6 linked regions of the Oryza sativa Japonica Group genome follow. The main gene of each other region encodes a partner of the protein of the gene in region 3 in a complex. Links are inferred from orthologs where the notes say so. Each region holds a gene or a part of one and is shown on either strand. Other genes may lie near its edges.

Region 1 (2,359 bases), on a different chromosome or scaffold from region 3:
GAACTTTGAATTTTTTACCCTAGAAAAAAAAAAGAAAAACCTAACCCTTTGAATCTTTGGTATCCTTCAAATCTTCGGTATCCTTCGAGTCTTCGGTACGCTTCGAATCCTTATGGGGAAGTCTATAAATTATACGCCCCTTGCTTGAATCATAACGACTTACTTCAATTTTGACCCTATCCCCCATCAGTATTCGTATAGAACTAGACCGGATCTTTCCTGAAATATAGCCCAGGATGATGGTGTCATTCTCTAGGCGAACGCGGAACATTCCGTTGGGTAGGGCTTCCATAACTAAACCCTCGAAAGTAATTTTTGCTTCTCTCGGGTTTTTTTTTTCTCTCCTATTTTTCTTTTCTGTCATATTTTTTTTTCTCCTATTTTTCTTTTTTTATTTTCAAATAAAAAAACGTTGTATTTTTGTTTGAAAAATAGGAAGTTCAAGATAGAATTTGGGTACTATAACTATAGGTGGGGCGATTACCGCTATAGGCGGGCGATTACCATATATAACATAAGACTTCTCCCCCAATTCTGTTTAGTCGAGCTTCTCGATCTGTCATTATACCTCGAGAAGTAGAAAGAATAGCAATTCCCATTCCGCCCAAAACCTTAGGAATTCCTTGATAGTTGGCATAAATTCGTAAGCCAGGTCGGCTGATACGCTTTAAAAAGGTTCTAGTTCTATATATTCCCTTTCTAGTCTTTCTCTTTTGATGTCGCAAAGTTGAAACCAAGAAATATCTGTTACTTTCCTGATGTTTCCGAACACTTTCAATAAAACCCTCTCGTAGAAGTATTTTAACAATGTTTTCGGTAATATTTGTAGATACTACCCGAACAGTTCCTTTTTTATTCATGTCCGCGTTTCTTATAGAGGTTAGTAAATCAGCAATAGTGTCCTTGCCCATAAGACTCTAATTCTAGGTTCCTCCTAATTTTTCTATAATCAACATGTTCTCTTTTTTCTTTTCGTTTTGGATTCTAAAGCATATACGTGAAACACAATCTACTAATTTTTTATTTGATCTATATCTTGTCTACTAGTATTTATAATACTTCAGGAGCTAATGAAACTATTTTAGTAAAATTCAATTCTCTCAATTCCTCGGCGATCGCGCCAAAAACGCGAGTTCCTTTTGGATTTCCTTTTTGATCAATGATAACCGCTGCATTGTCGTCATAGCGTATTATTATACCGTCTTCGCATTTGAACTCTTTACATGTACGTACAATTACAGCTCGAATTACTTCGGATCTTTCTAGAGGCATTTGGGGCACTGCGTCTTTGATTACAGCAACAATAACATCACCAATACGAGCATATCGCTGATTACTAGCAGCTCCTATGACTCGAATACACATCAATTTTCGAGCTCCACTGTTATCTGCTACATTTAAAAGGGTCTGAGGTTGAATCATATTATTTTGATTTCAATTTGTTATTTCAATGCAAAAGGATGAAAGAAATATTGTCTTTCCAGAAAGAAGAACCTGGTTTTTTATTTTCAATACTACTTTTTTTGGGGGGTTATATTTCTAACCGAAGAAATTGACTTCGTATGGGCATTTTGCTGGCAGCTATGGAAATAGCTCGTCTAGCTACAGTTTCGGATACTCCGCCCATTTCATAAAGTATTCGACCTGGTTTAACAACGGCTACCCAATATTCGGGGGATCCCTTTCCCGAACCCATACGTGTTTCGGTCGGTCTTATTGTAACCGGTTTGTCGGGAAATATACGTACCCAGATTTTTCCACCACGACGTGCATATCGTGTCATTGCTCTTCGTCCTGCTTCTATCTGCCTCGCCGTAATCCAAGTGGGTTCAAGTGCTTGAAGAGCATATCTACCAAAACAAATACAATTGCCTCGGTAGGATTTTCCCTTCATTCTTCCTCTATGTTGTTTACGAAATCTGGTTCTTTTGGGGTTATAGTCGATGGTTCTCTCTTAGTTCCATCTCTACTGCAAAACTGGACATGAGAGTTTCTTCTCATCCAGCTCCTCGCGAATCAAATGAGAAAGTGTGCCAAATTTCTCTAATTCCACAATATTCTAAAATATTACGGATAGATACACATTAATAGGAAAGGTTAGGGTTTTTAATATTGAATTTATTAAAATACTAAAATATATAGTCAAGAAAGAGGATCTAGAATATATCTAGATGTGTATGTTTATTTATCTATATTCTATATTTAATGTAATTCTTTTTTTTTTTTTTTTTAATCTCCTTTTTTTATTTTACTCTTATTGAATCGCGGTAAAGTATTCTAATTCAATAAAAATTTCGCGGGCGAATATTTACTCTTTCCTGTCTTATTTGTTAATTCATAACCTTATCAAATAAGACAA
Region 2 (3,541 bases), about 7.2 Mb from region 3:
CAAAGTGAACAAGCCAAGATTGAGCCGAGCAGCTCTCTCCAGAAAGTTCCATGTTCCAACCACACGCATGGTAATCATGGTAATTGGTAACTCAAGTTTAAATCATCTCTTCACAAAAAACCAAAATCTCGACTGGTGTCCGCTGCGGGAAATTTAACTATTTGCCACTCTTGTGACATGGCAATTAACGATTTGCCACACCCTGCCAATAACATGTGGGCCCTCATGTGTCTATGACATGTGGGTCTAGTAGCAAATCGTTAAGCACCATTCGTAAGAGTGGCAAATAGTTAAAAGCCCCGTCTGCTGCTATCAGCAAGGCAGGTTCCTAATATTATTATTCAGCTACACTGATACTCCTCTTTCAGCTTGTAAAGTTAACAAGGCATTAGATCTGACGGTGGCATGTGGAACAAATGGACAGAAAACTGGCGATACGTTAATTCATCAGGAACAGGTCGGTCAAGCATAGATATGACAACAGAAGAGAGACAGCAAGATGATGGACTGAAAAACATAGTATAACCTTAATTTAGCATCAGTTCATGTAAGACAGGTGACAAATATAACTTTTTCAGTGACAGATCACAACCCGTGATTCATCTATGACGACACCAACATAAAATCTCATAATACCAGACAAGAGCGTGGTCAAGCAGAACACAAAAAATAAACAAGAGGCAAAGAACCAAAGGTAAATACATGGCAATGTGTCTTATTCCTCCTGGGAAGCAGGCGACTTCTTCTTCGCAACAGAAGCCCTCCTTCCCTTCAGCGTCCTGCAATTGTTCTTCGTCCTCTGTCCACGAACTGGCAGCCCTAGCTTGTGGCGGATGCCCCTGTAACACCTAATCTCCTTCAACCTCTCAATCGCCACACGATTAAACCGTTTCTGTAAAGCATGGCAAACACATCAGAACTCTATTTTAGCAACACAACATAAATCCACGATGACAGAAATGGGAAAAGAACTACAGAGTCTTTTTTTTTTCAGAACGATCAGTTTAAGGGTACCAAATTTCAAGGAATCTTCAACATGCTACTCCCTCCGTTTCACAATGTAAGTCATTCTAACATTTACCACATTCATATTGATGCTAATGAATCTAGACATATATATCTATCTAGATTTATTAGTATCAATATGAATGTGGGAAATGCTAGAATGACTTATATTGTGAAACGGAGGAAGTACCAAAGTAGGGTAACCATACTAATCACCAAAATTACAGAAAAAAAGTTAAGTGATGAATTAGCAAGGGATAGGGCCATTACAAGGTCTCCCTCAATCATGTACTTGGTAACCTCCTTACGGAGAGTGATGACTTCCTCCTCGGAGAGGTCCTTTGTGACCTTGTTGTCAAAATTGAGGTCCAAGAGGATCTGACGGGAGCGTGACCGCCCAATGCCATGGATGTACTGCAGTGAGTACTCTACCCTCTTGTGGTTCGGGATCTCCACTCCACCAATACGAATGCACTCGATCCGCAGGCCACCATGACCAATACCCCCTTTCTGTCCAGTACCCAATAATAAAAAAAAAAGAATCAAAACCACAACACAGTTAAAAGCACAGGCCTACAAATGACTGGGCAAGTAAAGATAATGGGGTGGGGAAATTTTTTCTTTAAACTTGGTCAAACCTAAAGAACTTTGACTACTTATAGTATGAAACTGAGGGAGTACTAACAAGGAATTACGATTCTTTTTACATCCTATATGCATAATTAACCTTCTTTGCTATTCCTAGTCCCTACATGAATTACATATACACTCTGCTGTCCAAAGAAATACTACTTCGTAACACTATCCATTCTTCCAACATGATATGTGCTAGGGGCAGAGATTCAAACTCATAAGCATACAAGCATATAAATACTAGTTCCTCACAGATGCCAATAATTCTAAAATTGCACAGGAACACTGTTCTTCCAACATCACGGAAAAAAAACTACTGAATTGCACATACTCAAAATTAGTACTGTAGTACACAAAGCACGGCCACTAGCCTCCCCAACCTCCAAGATGGCAAAGATAACAAAACGATCCCAGGGGTTGAGTTGCAATAAGTGATACGGATGTACGATGCGTCATGCGTGAATCACATATCAATCGCACAGAACCAAGGAACAGGACGAGCGAGCAAATGGCCGAACAAGAAGTGGGCGCGGAGGGGGGAGGCGGGGGGAGGGGTGGCTTTGCTTCTCACCTTGGGAACGGGGAAGGAGACGGAGGAGCTGCGGCCTCGGGCGGAGAGGGGCAGGGAGGAGGTGGCGATGGGGACGGAGACCATCGAGAGGGTCGCCATTTCTGCGCTCCCGACGAGGGACGGAGGTGCGTGCGCTTCTCTCCCGGAGCTCTCGGTGCTGTCTCGGATAGAACCCAACGGGAAGGAAGCCGATAAGGTAGCCGCACCTGTAGGCTACCACTGTATCGGCGACTTCTTGGGTTGGGCCTTGCAGGGTACGGCCCAAACAGGTCAAGTCGCTAGTTTACTCCTTCTGTTAAAAAAAGAAAAAGAAAAAAGAACAAGCTAGGAGTACTCCATATCTAGATAACGCCGTAGTTGCAATTTTTTTCTTCAAACTTCCAACTTTTACATCACATCAAAACTTTCCTACACACATAAACTTCCAACTTTTCTGTCACATCGTTCTAATTTCAATCAAGCTTCCAATTTTAGCGTGAACTAAACACACCCTAAGTTAGTACTAGGCTATTAAGTTAGTACTAGGCTGTGTTCTTTTCCCACTTTTTCCAACACATCTCCCTTGTGTTCTGCATGCACGCTTTTCAAACGGTTAAACGATGTGTTTTTTTAAAGATTTCTACACAAAAGTTGCTTTTAAAAAATCATTTTTCAAAAACAATTAATAAATACTTAATTAATCATAAGAAAATGCTTCGCTCCGTTTTACGTGCGCGAGAGGTGAGTTCCTCCCGAACACAGTCTTAAGTTATGTTCCTGACTTTCTTTTTTTTTAAAGCTTTTTTAAGTTATGTTCCTGACTTTCTTTTTTTTAAGCTTTTTTTTAAGATGGAGGGAGTAAACACGAAAGAAAATATTCTCCTCTCTCTAGGAAAAAAAGAAGAATATGTTGTAGCCTTTAGGATCAGCTATGCTGCATAAGCTTCTTCTGAATATAAATTTCTGGGGTTTTTGTGGGAGGATAAAGAACTGCATAAGCTTCCTCTGAATATAAATTTCTGGGGTTTTTGTGGGAGGATAAAGAATTTCAGCACGTTTATAATCCTAGATGTAACAGTTTAGGTACTACTAAATGTAAGTTTAATTCGTATTGCATTTTGTATTAGGATAATCTGTGGGGAACGTTCTGAATATCATCTTGCAGAAATGTCTCAAGTGAAAATAAAATAAATGGAGATAATAGGACAATTGGTGGCAAATAACACATCATTTCAAAACGACGGATAAGGTTGCCCATCCAATTGGGAGCAGTAAGATTTACTGTAAAACCACAACAACCAGATAGTTCCACCGCATCGTTAATTGGGACGTGGGGATTTATAAGAACATTGG
Region 3 (3,721 bases):
CCGACCATAAACTTTTGACAGTATAATGACAAAGAAACACAATGAAATTATCTGCTTTTGATATGGAAACCTTTATATCACTAGGAGCTAACATTAGACAGTTGTTATTTTCAGGCGCCACGATAGATACTGAATCTGGTGCTCCATGATGGCTGATTTTGGAGTATTCTGGTTTTTCTACATGATACTTGTGGTCCTCCGAGATATTGTGTTTGTTGAGCTTTTACTGAAGAACTCTGGAGCATGGATATATGCCGTCAGACTGTGCTGTATGCATTTGTTTCTGACCTACTATGGTTGGCCAGCATATACTACTTTATATCATACTTATGGTGTACCAAAGACGATTTTGTGTTAATCAAAACTAGTTTTTCCCAGCCATCAGTGTGTTTTGCCCTCTTATCAGCTAAATGCCCTGGTAGTCTTGATGTTAAACAAATGATCAAAACTCAACAAATGAAATGCACGGTAAGGCAGCCTATAAATGAAATGCCATGGCGTACAGGAAATGAGCCCTGATTTTGTTAACAGCATAACTTGTTCCAGAGGCCCCAGCAGGCCATGCTCCACAAAAGTGTTCGTTCAATATCCCTTAACGTGTAGGAGTACCAGGTAAGATCAGAGCAGTGCTATAACGAAAAAAAAGGAAGACAAATTTCTTCTAAATTATCAACAGAAAGGGCGACATTTTTTCTCAACGATTGCAGCGAAAAACCAATCTCCTCCCATGGCAGTAGGATTCTTGTATGATATAAACATATTCCCCAAAACATGGAAACCTGAGTCCAGGTGGTGAAACTGATCTTAAAAGGCTTTCCGCTTGCGGACCTTGAAACTGGTTGAGCGGATGACATCGTCGTCAGCATTGAGCCTCATTTGCAGAGCATCCAGGGATTCAGGCTTGGTGAAGTATGTCACAAGGAGGTAGATTCCGTCGTAGTAGGTGGATGGCAAACCAGTCCTGCTGTTCCTCTTCCTGATGCTGTATGCCAGTGGGATGACTCCTCGGTTGAAGACTTCCACATACATGGCGCCACCCGCAACAAGGAGCTGCAAGACATGCGAAAAACCACCATAAGTAACTCAGTAAGCAAATTGCAGATAGGTTTGTAGCAAGTGAACATCTTATGGAGTGAAGTCACACTTCAGGATACCATCAAATTTAAGGTTACAGAATGGGCAAGAGGCTTGATTGATCATCAACCAAGACAATTATGGGACAAAAAAAAAAAAAGACCAAGGTAAACTTGAATGCGTGTTAACTGGTGATTGCTACTACTCCTACTAAACAATGCAGGAGATTGTGCGCGCAGGATGGAATGATGGATATATAATAACAAAACTATTTTTTTGGTAGGTTCTGTAGTAAACGTATGTTCTACAGCAGAAACAATTTTATGCTTCCTGTATCTCCACTATGACATACGCAAATAATATGGGGCTGTAGCTGTTGACCAGAAAGTATACATTTGCAACAAAATGATTTGCTTCAGCTTCACCTACAATGACTGATATATGATTTTAAGCAATGTTAATGACAGAACGAGCCAAATGACAGCATTTTTAATAAGAAACAAGTATGCCATTAACTCATCCTGGTTTACCATAAACTGGGAAAAGATGACAAGTTCATGCATTGGCCAGTACAAACCTTCCTAGAAATTCATGTCAACTGCAGGAGCAGGTCTGCAGCATAGCCCAAATCCAAAATGCATTGGCGTCTAGTCAATGCAGCTAATTATTTACCACTAGTAGTGATTTTGAGTTTTACCAGTGTGCCATAAATTCAGCCCGATTTACCATAAACTGGCAAAAGATAAAATTCTCATGCATTGGCCACTACAAATCTTCCTCGGAAATTCATGTCTACTGCAGCAGATAGCAAATGCATTGGCGCCTAGTCAGTGCAGCTAATTATTTACTAGTAATTTTGATTTTTACCTCCTCGTAACGCTGTATGAGGGCGAGGCGCTCCTCCTCGGACATGTCGGGGCGGAGCACGACCATGGTCTCGTACTGGCGAAGCCCGGGCGGGCACGGCGGCATCTCCCGCTCCTCCAGCGCCAGCGCCGCCTCCGCGGCCGACATCCCAAGCCCACCGCCTCCTATCCCTAGCCCAGCACCGAACCCCGAGGACGAACCCTCCTCATCCCCCACCTCGTCGTTCTCGCCACCGGCCGCAGCCGCCGCCCCGCCGTAGAACCCCGCGGCGTATCCGGCCGACACCACGCGCGCCACCCGAGCCGCCGCCCTGCGCGGCGCGACGCGCAGGCGCGAGCGCGAGGGCGGGAGAGTCGGGAGGAGAGCGGTCGCCGCGGCGGTGGAGGAGATGGAGAGCGCCATTGGTGGCGGCATTGGAGAGCGAGCGCGAGAGAGTGGAGGTAGGCGAGGTGTGTTGCCTTCGTGTCCAGTGGATAGATAAGGATAGGATTTTTAGATGGAGGCCCATTAAACCGGTTTTTGTTGGGCCGGGGTTAGTGGGCCAAATGGACCGGCTTTTGATTGGCCCAGGTAAAGGTTCCAGCCACTTCGCTTTGCCTAAGTTTTTTCATTTTTAAATTTTTATTTTTTAATATTTACAGAAATATTGTACGGCGAAAACATTTACAGAAGTAGATCCCGAGGGCGGCAAGGTGATGTGAGGACGGACAAGATAAAAAAAACTAGAAAACTGTATTTTTTACAAGGTGAAAATTGCATTATATCTCGGTGCAAAATACGCACACCTTGCCACCCTCCACTTAGGGAGCGTTCGGCAGGAGGAGTTTGTGAGTTAGTTTGTTTCATTTTTCGCACGCACGCTTCTCGAACTACTAACGGTGTGTTTTTTGCAAAAATTTTCTATATGAAAGTTGCTTTAAAAAATCATATTAATCTATTTTTAAAGTTTAAAATAGTTTATACTCAATTAATCATGTACTAATAGCTCACCTCGTTTTACGTATCTTCCCAATCTTCTCTTTTCCCCTCCTCTCAAACTCACCCTTAGGTGTCAGGGGTAATTTATGTAAATATTTTGGATGGTATAATATTTTTTAAATATTAAAAAATAAAAATTTAAAAATGAAAAAAATTCTCGCTTTGCCTCTGACTTCGTGTCCAGCCGACAGTATAGCTGAGCTGGCAGTCCGTTCGTGTCACTGCAAGTGGGCCCCACGCCGTACTTGCTCCACGATAAGCTCGTGCTCTGCTCTGCTCATCTCTCCGCGTGCTTCTTCTTCTTCTCTCTCTAAATTTCTCCATTCCGCTCGCGATCTCCACTCGCTTCGTCCAGATCTCCGCATCAACCCACAGGTAAAGTAAGAAAAAATCAATCTATGTTTCTTTCTACTTGCTCTCGCTTCGTTTTGGAGGATATTTGTGCCTCAGATCTTGTTGCCGTGTGTAGCCTAGCCGTGTAGAATAGGAAAGAGAAAAGAAAGCAATCTTTCTTGTGATCAAGTCTTTGGTGATTCTTGTGGAGTTAGCAATGGCGTGCGATCTGTTTGCTTGATTTGATCTTGCTGTGAGATCTTGATTCGATCGCTTGTTGTTGTTGCTACCTGAAGTTAGCGAGCATGTCGTCTTCGTCGGAGAACCCCACGGTGACGGAGCGTGGCGGCGGGAAGGACCGCCGGGACGACGACGGCGGCGAAAAGAAGGAAGGAGGCGGGGGATTCATGGAGAAGGTGAAGGACTTCATCCACGACATCGGGGAGAAGATCGAGGGGGCCGTCGGCTT
Region 4 (2,541 bases), on a different chromosome or scaffold from region 3:
GTATTAGATTTCGAAAGCCCTTCTTTCCCTAATTTAGAAGGGAGTTCCGCTAGCAACACAACGTAATTAACTCGATTCGTTAGAACAGCTTCCATTGAGTCTCTGCACCTATCCTTTTCCTTTGGGTTCTAGTTCGAGAACCGCTTGTTTTCTCAAAACATGGATTTGGCTCAGGATTGCCCCTTTTTTAATTCCAGGGTTTCTCTGAATTTGGAAGTTGCCACTTAGCAGGTTTCCATACCAAGGCTCAATACAATCAAGTCCGTAGCGTCTACCGATTTCGCCATATCCCCATTTTCTTTTTCTTTGAGACCAGGATTCCTTGTGCAATTTCCTCCATCTGTTAGTTTTTTTTGAATCGTTGAATTCATTACTCTATGTAGTCTAGCGGTTCGTCTCTAGTTGAGAGACTCCGCTTATTGCAATTCAGCATTGAATTGATTCTATCGTTGATGTATTTGCAATTCAATGCGAATCAATATATCCCAAGGTTTTTCTCTCCCCCACCTACCGCGTTCCTTTTTTAGAGTATTCAAAATCATACTATAACGCTTGATATTCATTCTTTTTTTTTGCTAATCAGAATTAGCAATTTCATTTGCTATGATTCTATGTTCTCCTTAGTGAAATATTAATCATTAAATTATTAGCAAATAACAAAAAAAAACAAAATAATCTCAAAAAATGTCTATAATGATGGACTGAAAATACAAGAAATTCGCATGTTCTCTTTATTATGTTTTCGTATATAATATATATTATTTATTCTTTTCCATGTATTAGATTATTCGTCCGAGCCATATCAAATTAAAAATATCTAAAATCAAATTCAATATAGAAATTGGAATAGATTCTATTAGAAAAATAGATTTGCGAATTAGAGAAAAAAGAAAGTTCAAAAAAATCTATCTAACTTTATTTTATGAAGTTCTAGTATTTTTTTCTAAGTAGAACTTCCAATTTCGAACTAGTTAATAGCTAAGATTAATAATTAAGATCTGACATTTTACGGATTTCCTATACTATACATATTTCTATTTGTTACACTATTTCTGTTATGTAAGCCCACTTAGCTCAGAGGTTAGAGCATCGCATTTGTAATGCGAGGGTCATCGGTTCAAATCCGATAGTCGGCTTTTTTCTCTATCAATGTTCCATGAACAAAAATACCTCTTTTTCTCCGAATTAAATGGAGAAGCCAGGATCTATTATGTCGGTCTACCCTACAATTTTGCTAGATACAAAACAATAAAATAAATAATATATATACAAAAATTCAGATGTTGATGAAATTCCATTTTTTTGTGGTACTTTTAGTAGATTTTACTCTGTTTATCCTTTACTTTAATTCAGTTTTAATTTCGATGTATTCTGTAATGTAAATACAATGAAATTAATTGTGTAAAATGAAATTTCAATAAAAAAAGGAGTCTTCATGTCCCGTTATCGAGGACCTCGTTTTAAAAAAATACGCCGTCTGGGAGCTTTACCAGGACTCACTAGAAAAACACCTAAATCCGGAAGTAATCTGAAAAAGAAATTCCATTCTGGGAAAAAAGAACAATATCGTATTCGTCTTCAAGAAAAACAGAAATTGCGTTTTCATTATGGTCTGACAGAACGACAATTACTTAGATATGTACATATCGCTGGAAAAGCAAAAAGTTCAACAGGTCAGGTTTTACTACAATTACTTGAAATGCGTTTGGATAATATCCTTTTTCGATTAGGTATGGCTTCAACCATTCCCGAGGCCCGGCAATTAGTTAACCATAGACATATTTTAGTTAATGGTCGTATAGTCGATATACCAAGTTTTCGTTGCAAACCCCGAGATATTATTACTACGAAGGATAACCAAAGATCAAAACGTCTGGTTCAAAATTCTATTGCTTCATCCGACCCGGGGAAATTGCCAAAGCATTTGACGATTGACACATTGCAATATAAAGGACTAGTAAAAAAAATCCTGGATAGGAAGTGGGTCGGTCTCAAAATAAATGAGTTGTTAGTTGTAGAATATTACTCTCGTCAAACTTGAACTTAAGGAAAAACGGAAAGGTTCATAGAATTTTTCTTCCCTTCCCCTTTCCCCGAACTAAATCGACCTAAGGCTCTTAATTCGTATTTTCCCATTCACCTAACAGAAATGGATTAACCCTAGGATTCCTTTTTGTTTTTTGTTCTTTCCTCTATGTGTATTTTACATACCATAGTAATTTGGTATAGAGAATTTCTATTAAATAAAGGTATTGTATTATTGCTGGAATAAATTGTCATTTGATTTGATACATTGTAATCATTAACGTTGCTGAATTAAGAAAAACGGAAAGAGAGGGATTCGAACCCTCGGTAAACAAAAGTCTACATAGCAGTTCCAATGCTACGCCTTGAACCGCTCGGCCATCTCTCCTCCATAATCTTATTATGGAAAAAAAACTGAGTGAATAGCGAGTTTTCCTATTCCTGCAGTACAGGTACAACCACAACCGCGCGAGAGTTCCATTGTTCTATTAGATAGAAAAATTCCTTTTCATCTAA
Region 5 (2,849 bases), on a different chromosome or scaffold from region 3:
ATGAAGAATGAGTGCTCTGTGTTCAAAGTAAACTGCAATGACAGGAATCTGGAAGGGTATGCATTTCATTGACTCGTCCAACTTGTTCTTCACATACTATCCAATCATCATGCAATTTCCTCACATGATGTGATGAGGCCATGTTCTCTTTCAGATGCCGCAGGTCTCTTCAGAAGATGAAGAGGGAGCATGCCACTCTGAAGCAGAAGCTGGAATCATATTTTCAGGTATGTTGTACTACATCCTTGTCTCTCTCTCTTTCTGTTTACCTTATTTTCAGCATTGCTACATGGCTAAACAACTTGGTTATCTCCTGTTCCTTCTGCTGATGCAGTTACTGAGGCAAGTTGGTCCCCGTGATTATGCAGTGAGCTCAAGGAAGTAAGAAGAACAGTATGAGTTCCAAGGAAAATAAAGAACATATACATAGCAGCTATCAGTCTCTTGAAAATTCTGTCGCTGAAAAGTTTTTGTGCCAATCAGATACTCATAATGCTTAATGGTGCCTTTTTGTTGTGTTTGGATTGCATCTGTAGCTCCATAATCCATATATACTGTATGAAGTTATGTAAAGCCCTGCTTATGCACACTCTCCTTGCCTGTCTACAAAGTGCCATGAACTTGTGTTATTAGTCAGTAATTGTAGCAGAAAGTGTCATGGTACTAATATGAGCTTTTAATGTTTGAAACTAGTAATATGTAAACTAGTTTTTTGGGTTAATTAATTGCCCAGGTGCCATCATGGAAAACTATTTGTTTGTACTTTGTATACTCAACAAACGCTATAGTCACATTCCCAGAACCAAAGACACTTAAAAACACTGGTTTTTCATCTCTTCCACTAATATTCATAACAGTGTTTGAGCTTTAACCATCAATATCATTTTGAACGTTTCGATTTCTAAAATCTTAAAAACGTTATGGCTAGATTTGTCTTCAGAAGTCCTAAAAATATCATAACTTTGCTATATTCTTCATAAGTTTTATACTAGTAGTAATAATTTAATCATAAAAAAATGATTATCTATAGAAAAAGAAATGAGAGGACAAAAAAAAAAGAAAGAGAAACATCAGAATTGCAGAGGGCCAAGCCAATCATGGGCTTGGTCCATAGGCCCAAGAGACAAAGCCCAATCCATGGGCCTGGGCTTCCCTTTCCCTCCGTTTTATCTACTCCGATGCACGCACAGCTTATCCGATTCCATCCATTCCTCAAGCTCTCACTCCTCTCTCGCTTCCATGGCGCTCCTCGCCGTCCACGCCATGGCCGCGTCCCCGGCCACCTTCCCCTCCTCCCACCACCACGCCGCCGTCTCCTCCTACTGCGCGCTCCCCGCCGCCGCCGCATTCTCCCGCTCCCGCTCTCGCGTCGCCGCCGCCGCCGCCGCCACCCTCTCGGCCCCGCTCACTCCAGTTCTTGAAGGTAACTGACATGCCTACCTAACCTCCCTGTCTCTGTTTTGTTCGTCAATTCGGATTAGTCTGGTGTGAAATTGGCTCGATGATCTTATATGAAACTGCTTTTCAAATCGTATTGCACGAATTCAATTGATACAGCACCAAAACATAGATTGAAACAAAAACCTCGCAGTTTGAACCAATTACGATTCCAACTCAAATTACTCCATTTGGTGTGACCAGTTTACTGCGGGAGAGGGGACAAGAAGACCAAGAGGGGAAAAAGGTTCAACCACTCGTACGGAAATGTGAGTCTCTAGCACAAAAATAAAATTAATAAAAAAATCATATGCTTATTGCTTCCTGTGCTGCTGTTTGCTGCAATTCTTCAGACTTGCCATCTGCTGACTGCTGTTTGCTCATCTCAGGCGAGGCCGCGCAACAAGAAGAAGGGAACTGGCCCTGCACGGCTGTTCGCGCCGCCTGCGCCTCCGAGGAAGGACCAGTTCGACGACGGCGAGGTCACCCCGATCGACATCGACGATGACATCCTGGAATAGGTTGTCTGAATTTCCCCCCTTGAATTATGGTTTACCTTGAGCTTACCTTTTGTCTAGTCTGTACCAAACACTGTTTCTTGAAATTAATTACAGTACATTACATGGTCTCATTCTACATAATGTAGATGCCTATGATTTCTTTCCTTGTAATATATATGAATGGTGCTGCTTAGAGTCATTTTTTATGCATTACCAGCTGAAGCAGAACATAAGTACAGATACAATCACCAAACTTTCATGTTCTTGCTAGAAACCAGGGAAGATGCAGTATCTCTTTTTTTTTTCTTTTCTAGCTGTGTCCCTGAATTCAAGCACCTTTTGACATGCTTCGAATTTGTTGTGATGATCTGGGAAGCAGTTCTTAAGAATCAACTAATAAACCAGTCCATCAGATCGGGTCAGAAATCTGCCCCTTTTTTGTTGTTTTGTCTGTTGACTCTGTTATGCGCTTGAGTTTTGACACAAGAAATTGTTTTGATGATCTGCAAAACATATTCCTTTAAAGCTGGACAACAAACCAGTTCAACTGGTCAGCTTGGTGGTAATTGTATGTTAAAATTCTGTCATTTTTTGTTGTTTCGTCTGCAAGTTTGTTGTGAGCTGCTCCCCCCGCCCACAAGGGTAAGCAACTATCTCGCCCGAAATATACTACAATTTTGGCCCAAACTGGAAGTGTAAACCCTGCTACGCAATGGCTTTAAGAACCCTAAACCCTGAAGCATGTTTTGTTTGCTACCATTTCAAGCCATCACAAATTTTGGTAAGATAACGAACCAAATATGTTCGAGTATCCCTACCTTACCAAAATTTGGTAACGTACGAAACAAACCCGCCATCTGTTCAAAAATTTGGTGAAGTAACAAACCAAACATTTTCCCACAGTCCTAACAT
Region 6 (3,419 bases), on a different chromosome or scaffold from region 3:
CAACGCCTCCATGTGCCTTGCCCCTCCTCCCCCCTTGGCCGAGATGATGATAAGCTGCTACGCCTTGCTCAGTTGCTCCCATGCCTTTTGAACGCTTTTGAGACCGTGACCAAGCTGGCGCGGCGCTGCATGCGGCGTGAGAACGAGCGTCGCAGCACGACGCGCGGGCACCACGACGACTCCACGAGTCCACGAGCGTTTTCACGCTCGTTTCGCACAGGCTCACGCGTTGCCGCAGCCCGTTTTGCAGAGGCCTACGCGTGGACGGCCTAGGCTCGTGGTGCGCGGAGCGGGCCGGGCTTTTTCAGGGCATCACCGGTGTTAGTTAATCGCAGTAGAAGGGGTATATGCCCCCGTGACCCCAAATCTCTTCGAAAGAAAAGAAATTCCCCTTTTTCTTCAAGTTCAAAATATCGAGTTACATTTATTTAACTGGATCATGGTATAGTAGTATCAAGAGGTATTAGCAATCTTCCCTGCGGATGATGGAGCCCAAATCGTTTACCTTACAGAGATCAATCACAATTCATTTCCATAAACAAAACCGTATCCGAAAACAGTTTGAATCGATCTACAGGGTCATGTAACAACAAAGATCCGTGTAACCAAAGCAAGAAAAAAAGAAACAAGGTTCTCAAGGATGGGAGAATTGAGATATCCTCTTAGGTTGACAAGCTGCCACCACCCTGTTGCCAAAGGTTGATGATATCAGTGGCCTGATTCAGAAGGATGATCATCTGTTTCTGAGAGATCCACTCTTTCTCCTCCAGCTTTGCTCTTAGCTCCTCCCAGGCATCTTTCCGTGGCCAGAAGTAGTATGGGCTTAACGGAATGCTGCCATAGCCGGGAACCAACTGGTCGAGGGCTATGCCAATGTTCTTCTCCATCCATATGAACTTCAGAACAAGCATTGGATCCTGCCTTTCAGGCACCTTAACCTTGTACTGCGATACAAAATCAATTCGTTTCAAATCTCATAATGCTAATACTGATTTTGCATATCTGAGTAAAATAAATTGTGCAGTTTTAACACAGCTCAAGTCGTAGTAAAATAAATTGCAACAACTACTGTACGTGTTCCATTGACAACTTCATTTCTCTACAAAAGGCCCCATTTTTCAACTGTGAGGGTAACTCCCATATAATCAAAACTAATCCACTTTTAGTGTACATCTCTGAAATCTGATATAGTGATGAAAAAGGAACTTATTGTGCCTGTTAATGTTGTTACATAATCACGTAAATAGCTGAATGAAAAAAAACTCCTTTCATGACCAAAACCTGTCAATGCTACAGTTTGTTCAATAGTTCAGTTCTTGCTTACACATACAACCAAAAATGGCACACGCTCAAGTTTGTGGACATGCTTTCATGTGCTCTTCGCCTCTTCATCACTAGCATACACCTTTTATCTGCAGAAGTGCAAAACTGCACCAAAAGGACAGCCCGAGTGCCCAAACATGCTCAACTAGACTAGAACTTCTCTAATTTACTCTACTTGTGACTTCTCTTAAGCTTTCAGCTGTGCATTGTGTCTAAAGATTTACTCTACTCGTGAATTCACCCAAATGTACACCTCGTACTGTATTTCACCTATGAGCTCAAGTAATCAGTTCGGTAACCAAAATTGATTCAAGAAAAATCAAATTCATGCGAAACCAAATGTGATTGAACTCCATCCTCTTCAAAAAACAACACTTCCTTCTGAAATTGAGCTCGACTCGGTAAAAAAAAAAACCCCGTAATTTCAGTCACTGGCATGGTTTGGAGCGGCTACTAGCCCATTACCTCCTGCGCTTCCTCGCCGGCGCTCGCATCCCCACCTCCGACTTGCTTCTCCTCTTCTCCCTCCTCCGCTTCGACGGCGCCAGAAGCGGCGGCGGCGGCGAGGCCACGGAGCGAGCGAAGGGGAAGCCTCCTGCTGCCGAGGTGGACGAGGCGTGGAGTGGAGGAGGAGGAGGTGGTGCAGGGGGAGGCGGCGGAAAGCTTGGGCCGGGAGATGCGGGCGCGCGAGGCGAGGGCCGGCGTGGCGGCGGGGTGGACGGACATCGCCAGCATCGTGTCCGAGTCCGAGGCTCCTGTGCGGATAAGAGGAGGAAGACGATGGTGCGGGGCTGCCTCCTCTTATCTTTACCCTTAATAATCCCCTTCTCGTCAGCTATTAGATGTGGGCTAGAAAGTTATGGTAAAGCCCAATATGGCCCAGCACAAAACGGCCCGGCCCAGATCCAATCTAAGTAAAAAGCTCACAGCTCAATCGTCTCGGTTATTCGAGAATAAACGAAATGGCATATTTGTAAATAAAAAATAATTTGTGAATAAATCTTTTATATATATATTTTTAACGATCTAAAAGCAAAGACTGAAAAATAAACCTTCGATAAAAAAAATAAAATCAACCCCAAATTTAAAGGTAAAAATTTAAATTTTGACTGATAAACATAAGTATAAGCGAAAAGATGAGGCCGTCCGTTTGCCTTCAGCAGGGTTTGCAAAACCGTCTGTAACCGTGCGATTACCGCGCTTACCGTGGGGTACGGTAAAAGGGAAACCGCGGTAACCCCCTTAAATTCAAATAAATTTAAAAAATAATTTTAAATTTTGATAAATTTTACACGGTTACCGTGTGGTAACCCCGGTCCGGTGGTTTGGGAAACCCTGGCCTTCAGTAGTGCTAGTGCCCAGTTGCCAACCGCTTGGGCGTAGTAAAAACTGATAGTGGAATGAAATGAACCGGGTACAAAGTACTGAAATGATCGTAAGTTTTGAAAAAAAACAAGCAGGAGTAGTAACTTTGCAAGTAAGGATGCTACATTCTCTGATAGTAGTTTCAGTGTTTTACACATTCTATAAGAACACCGAACAAAACAAGCATCGAATTTCAAATGTCGATACAGCCTTGAACAGTTGAAGTTCTTGCCCACAAGTTTAATCGAAAGCATTGTCAGGTTAACCCAAGAACGTGATTAATAATTACTAACATTAATATTAGTCCCATCTTATTCGACAATCATTGCTAAACTATTTACTGTGTCATGAGATCGAATCAAGTTTGATGCCGGCGAGGTTTTCTCCGCTCAGAAGTCCGGCGCCGGCGAGTACGCGTGGGAGGCGGGCACAACCACGGCCGTCGACATAGGTGCCGACGAGGAGTTCACCAGGTTCAGTATGCTGTTCCAGTAGTTCTTCTCCTCCTCGGTCTCCTGGAACTCGCCGTCGGCTTCCGCGTCTCTCCCCGCCGGCCTCGGGATCTGGTTCAAGGAGCCTTCGAGGAGTAGGCCCGTGAACCCCGCTCCGGCGCCGGGGAAGCCCACGTCGGCGGCGTCGACGTCGCCCCAGTGCTGGTCCTTGCACGCCTCGTCGTACGCCTGCATGGGCTGCATGGCGGCGCGCGCGGCCGCCGCGGCGGCGGCGCCGTG

What was found.
Region 1: small ribosomal subunit protein bS6c (region 3) and rps8 share a complex: the UniProt entries of both Arabidopsis thaliana proteins name them as parts of the 30S ribosomal subunit. The link is inferred for Oryza sativa Japonica Group from reciprocal best matches to the Arabidopsis thaliana genes AT1G64510 and rps8.
Region 2: small ribosomal subunit protein bS6c (region 3) and small ribosomal subunit protein uS13c share a complex: the UniProt entries of both Arabidopsis thaliana proteins name them as parts of the 30S ribosomal subunit. The link is inferred for Oryza sativa Japonica Group from reciprocal best matches to the Arabidopsis thaliana genes AT1G64510 and EMB3137.
Region 4: small ribosomal subunit protein bS6c (region 3) and rps4 share a complex: the UniProt entries of both Arabidopsis thaliana proteins name them as parts of the 30S ribosomal subunit. The link is inferred for Oryza sativa Japonica Group from reciprocal best matches to the Arabidopsis thaliana genes AT1G64510 and rps4.
Region 5: small ribosomal subunit protein bS6c (region 3) and 30S ribosomal protein S31, chloroplastic share a complex: the UniProt entries of both Arabidopsis thaliana proteins name them as parts of the 30S ribosomal subunit. The link is inferred for Oryza sativa Japonica Group from reciprocal best matches to the Arabidopsis thaliana genes AT1G64510 and PSRP4.
Region 6: small ribosomal subunit protein bS6c (region 3) and small ribosomal subunit protein cS23 share a complex: the UniProt entries of both Arabidopsis thaliana proteins name them as parts of the 30S ribosomal subunit. The link is inferred for Oryza sativa Japonica Group from reciprocal best matches to the Arabidopsis thaliana genes AT1G64510 and PSRP3/1.

What each region holds. Positions count from the first base shown.
Region 1 is NC_001320.1:76,198-78,556, forward strand, and holds rps8 (ribosomal protein S8), read right to left. Parts: upstream 912-2,359; coding exon 501-911; downstream 1-500. Other genes in the region: infA (translation initiation factor 1), read right to left, coding at 41-364; rpl14 (ribosomal protein L14), read right to left, coding at 1,051-1,422; rpl16 (ribosomal protein L16), read right to left, coding at 1,532-1,933. UniProt on the Arabidopsis thaliana protein: One of the primary rRNA binding proteins, it binds directly to 16S rRNA central domain where it helps coordinate assembly of the platform of the 30S subunit.
Region 2 is NC_089037.1:29,173,911-29,177,451, reverse strand, and holds small ribosomal subunit protein uS13c, read right to left. Parts: upstream 2,403-3,541; 5' UTR 2,309-2,402; coding exon 2,210-2,308; intron 1,516-2,209; coding exon 1,276-1,515; intron 893-1,275; coding exon 716-892; 3' UTR 501-715; downstream 1-500. UniProt on the Arabidopsis thaliana protein: Located at the top of the head of the 30S subunit, it contacts several helices of the 16S rRNA.
Region 3 is NC_089037.1:36,416,191-36,419,911, reverse strand, and holds small ribosomal subunit protein bS6c, read right to left. Parts: upstream 2,388-3,721; 5' UTR 2,356-2,387; coding exon 1,942-2,355; intron 1,051-1,941; coding exon 805-1,050; 3' UTR 501-804; downstream 1-500. Other genes in the region: uncharacterized protein, read left to right, coding at 115-133; uncharacterized protein, read left to right, coding at 3,558-3,721. UniProt on the Arabidopsis thaliana protein: Binds together with bS18 to 16S ribosomal RNA.
Region 4 is NC_001320.1:44,310-46,850, reverse strand, and holds rps4 (ribosomal protein S4), read left to right. Parts: upstream 1-1,435; coding exon 1,436-2,041; downstream 2,042-2,541. UniProt on the Arabidopsis thaliana protein: One of the primary rRNA binding proteins, it binds directly to 16S rRNA where it nucleates assembly of the body of the 30S subunit. With S5 and S12 plays an important role in translational accuracy.
Region 5 is NC_089039.1:5,295,874-5,298,722, reverse strand, and holds 30S ribosomal protein S31, chloroplastic, read left to right. Parts: upstream 1-1,193; 5' UTR 1,194-1,239; coding exon 1,240-1,423; intron 1,424-1,641; coding exon 1,642-1,706; intron 1,707-1,790; coding exon 1,791-1,958; 3' UTR 1,959-2,349; downstream 2,350-2,849. Other genes in the region: pseudo histidine-containing phosphotransfer protein 2, read left to right, coding at 1-56, 155-227, 335-385.
Region 6 is NC_089038.1:23,520,269-23,523,687, reverse strand, and holds small ribosomal subunit protein cS23, read right to left. Parts: upstream 2,111-3,419; 5' UTR 2,059-2,110; coding exon 1,789-2,058; intron 945-1,788; coding exon 663-944; 3' UTR 501-662; downstream 1-500. Other genes in the region: transcription factor MYB106, read right to left, coding at 3,078-3,419. UniProt on the Arabidopsis thaliana protein: Component of the chloroplast ribosome (chloro-ribosome), a dedicated translation machinery responsible for the synthesis of chloroplast genome-encoded proteins, including proteins of the transcription and translation machinery and components of the photosynthetic apparatus.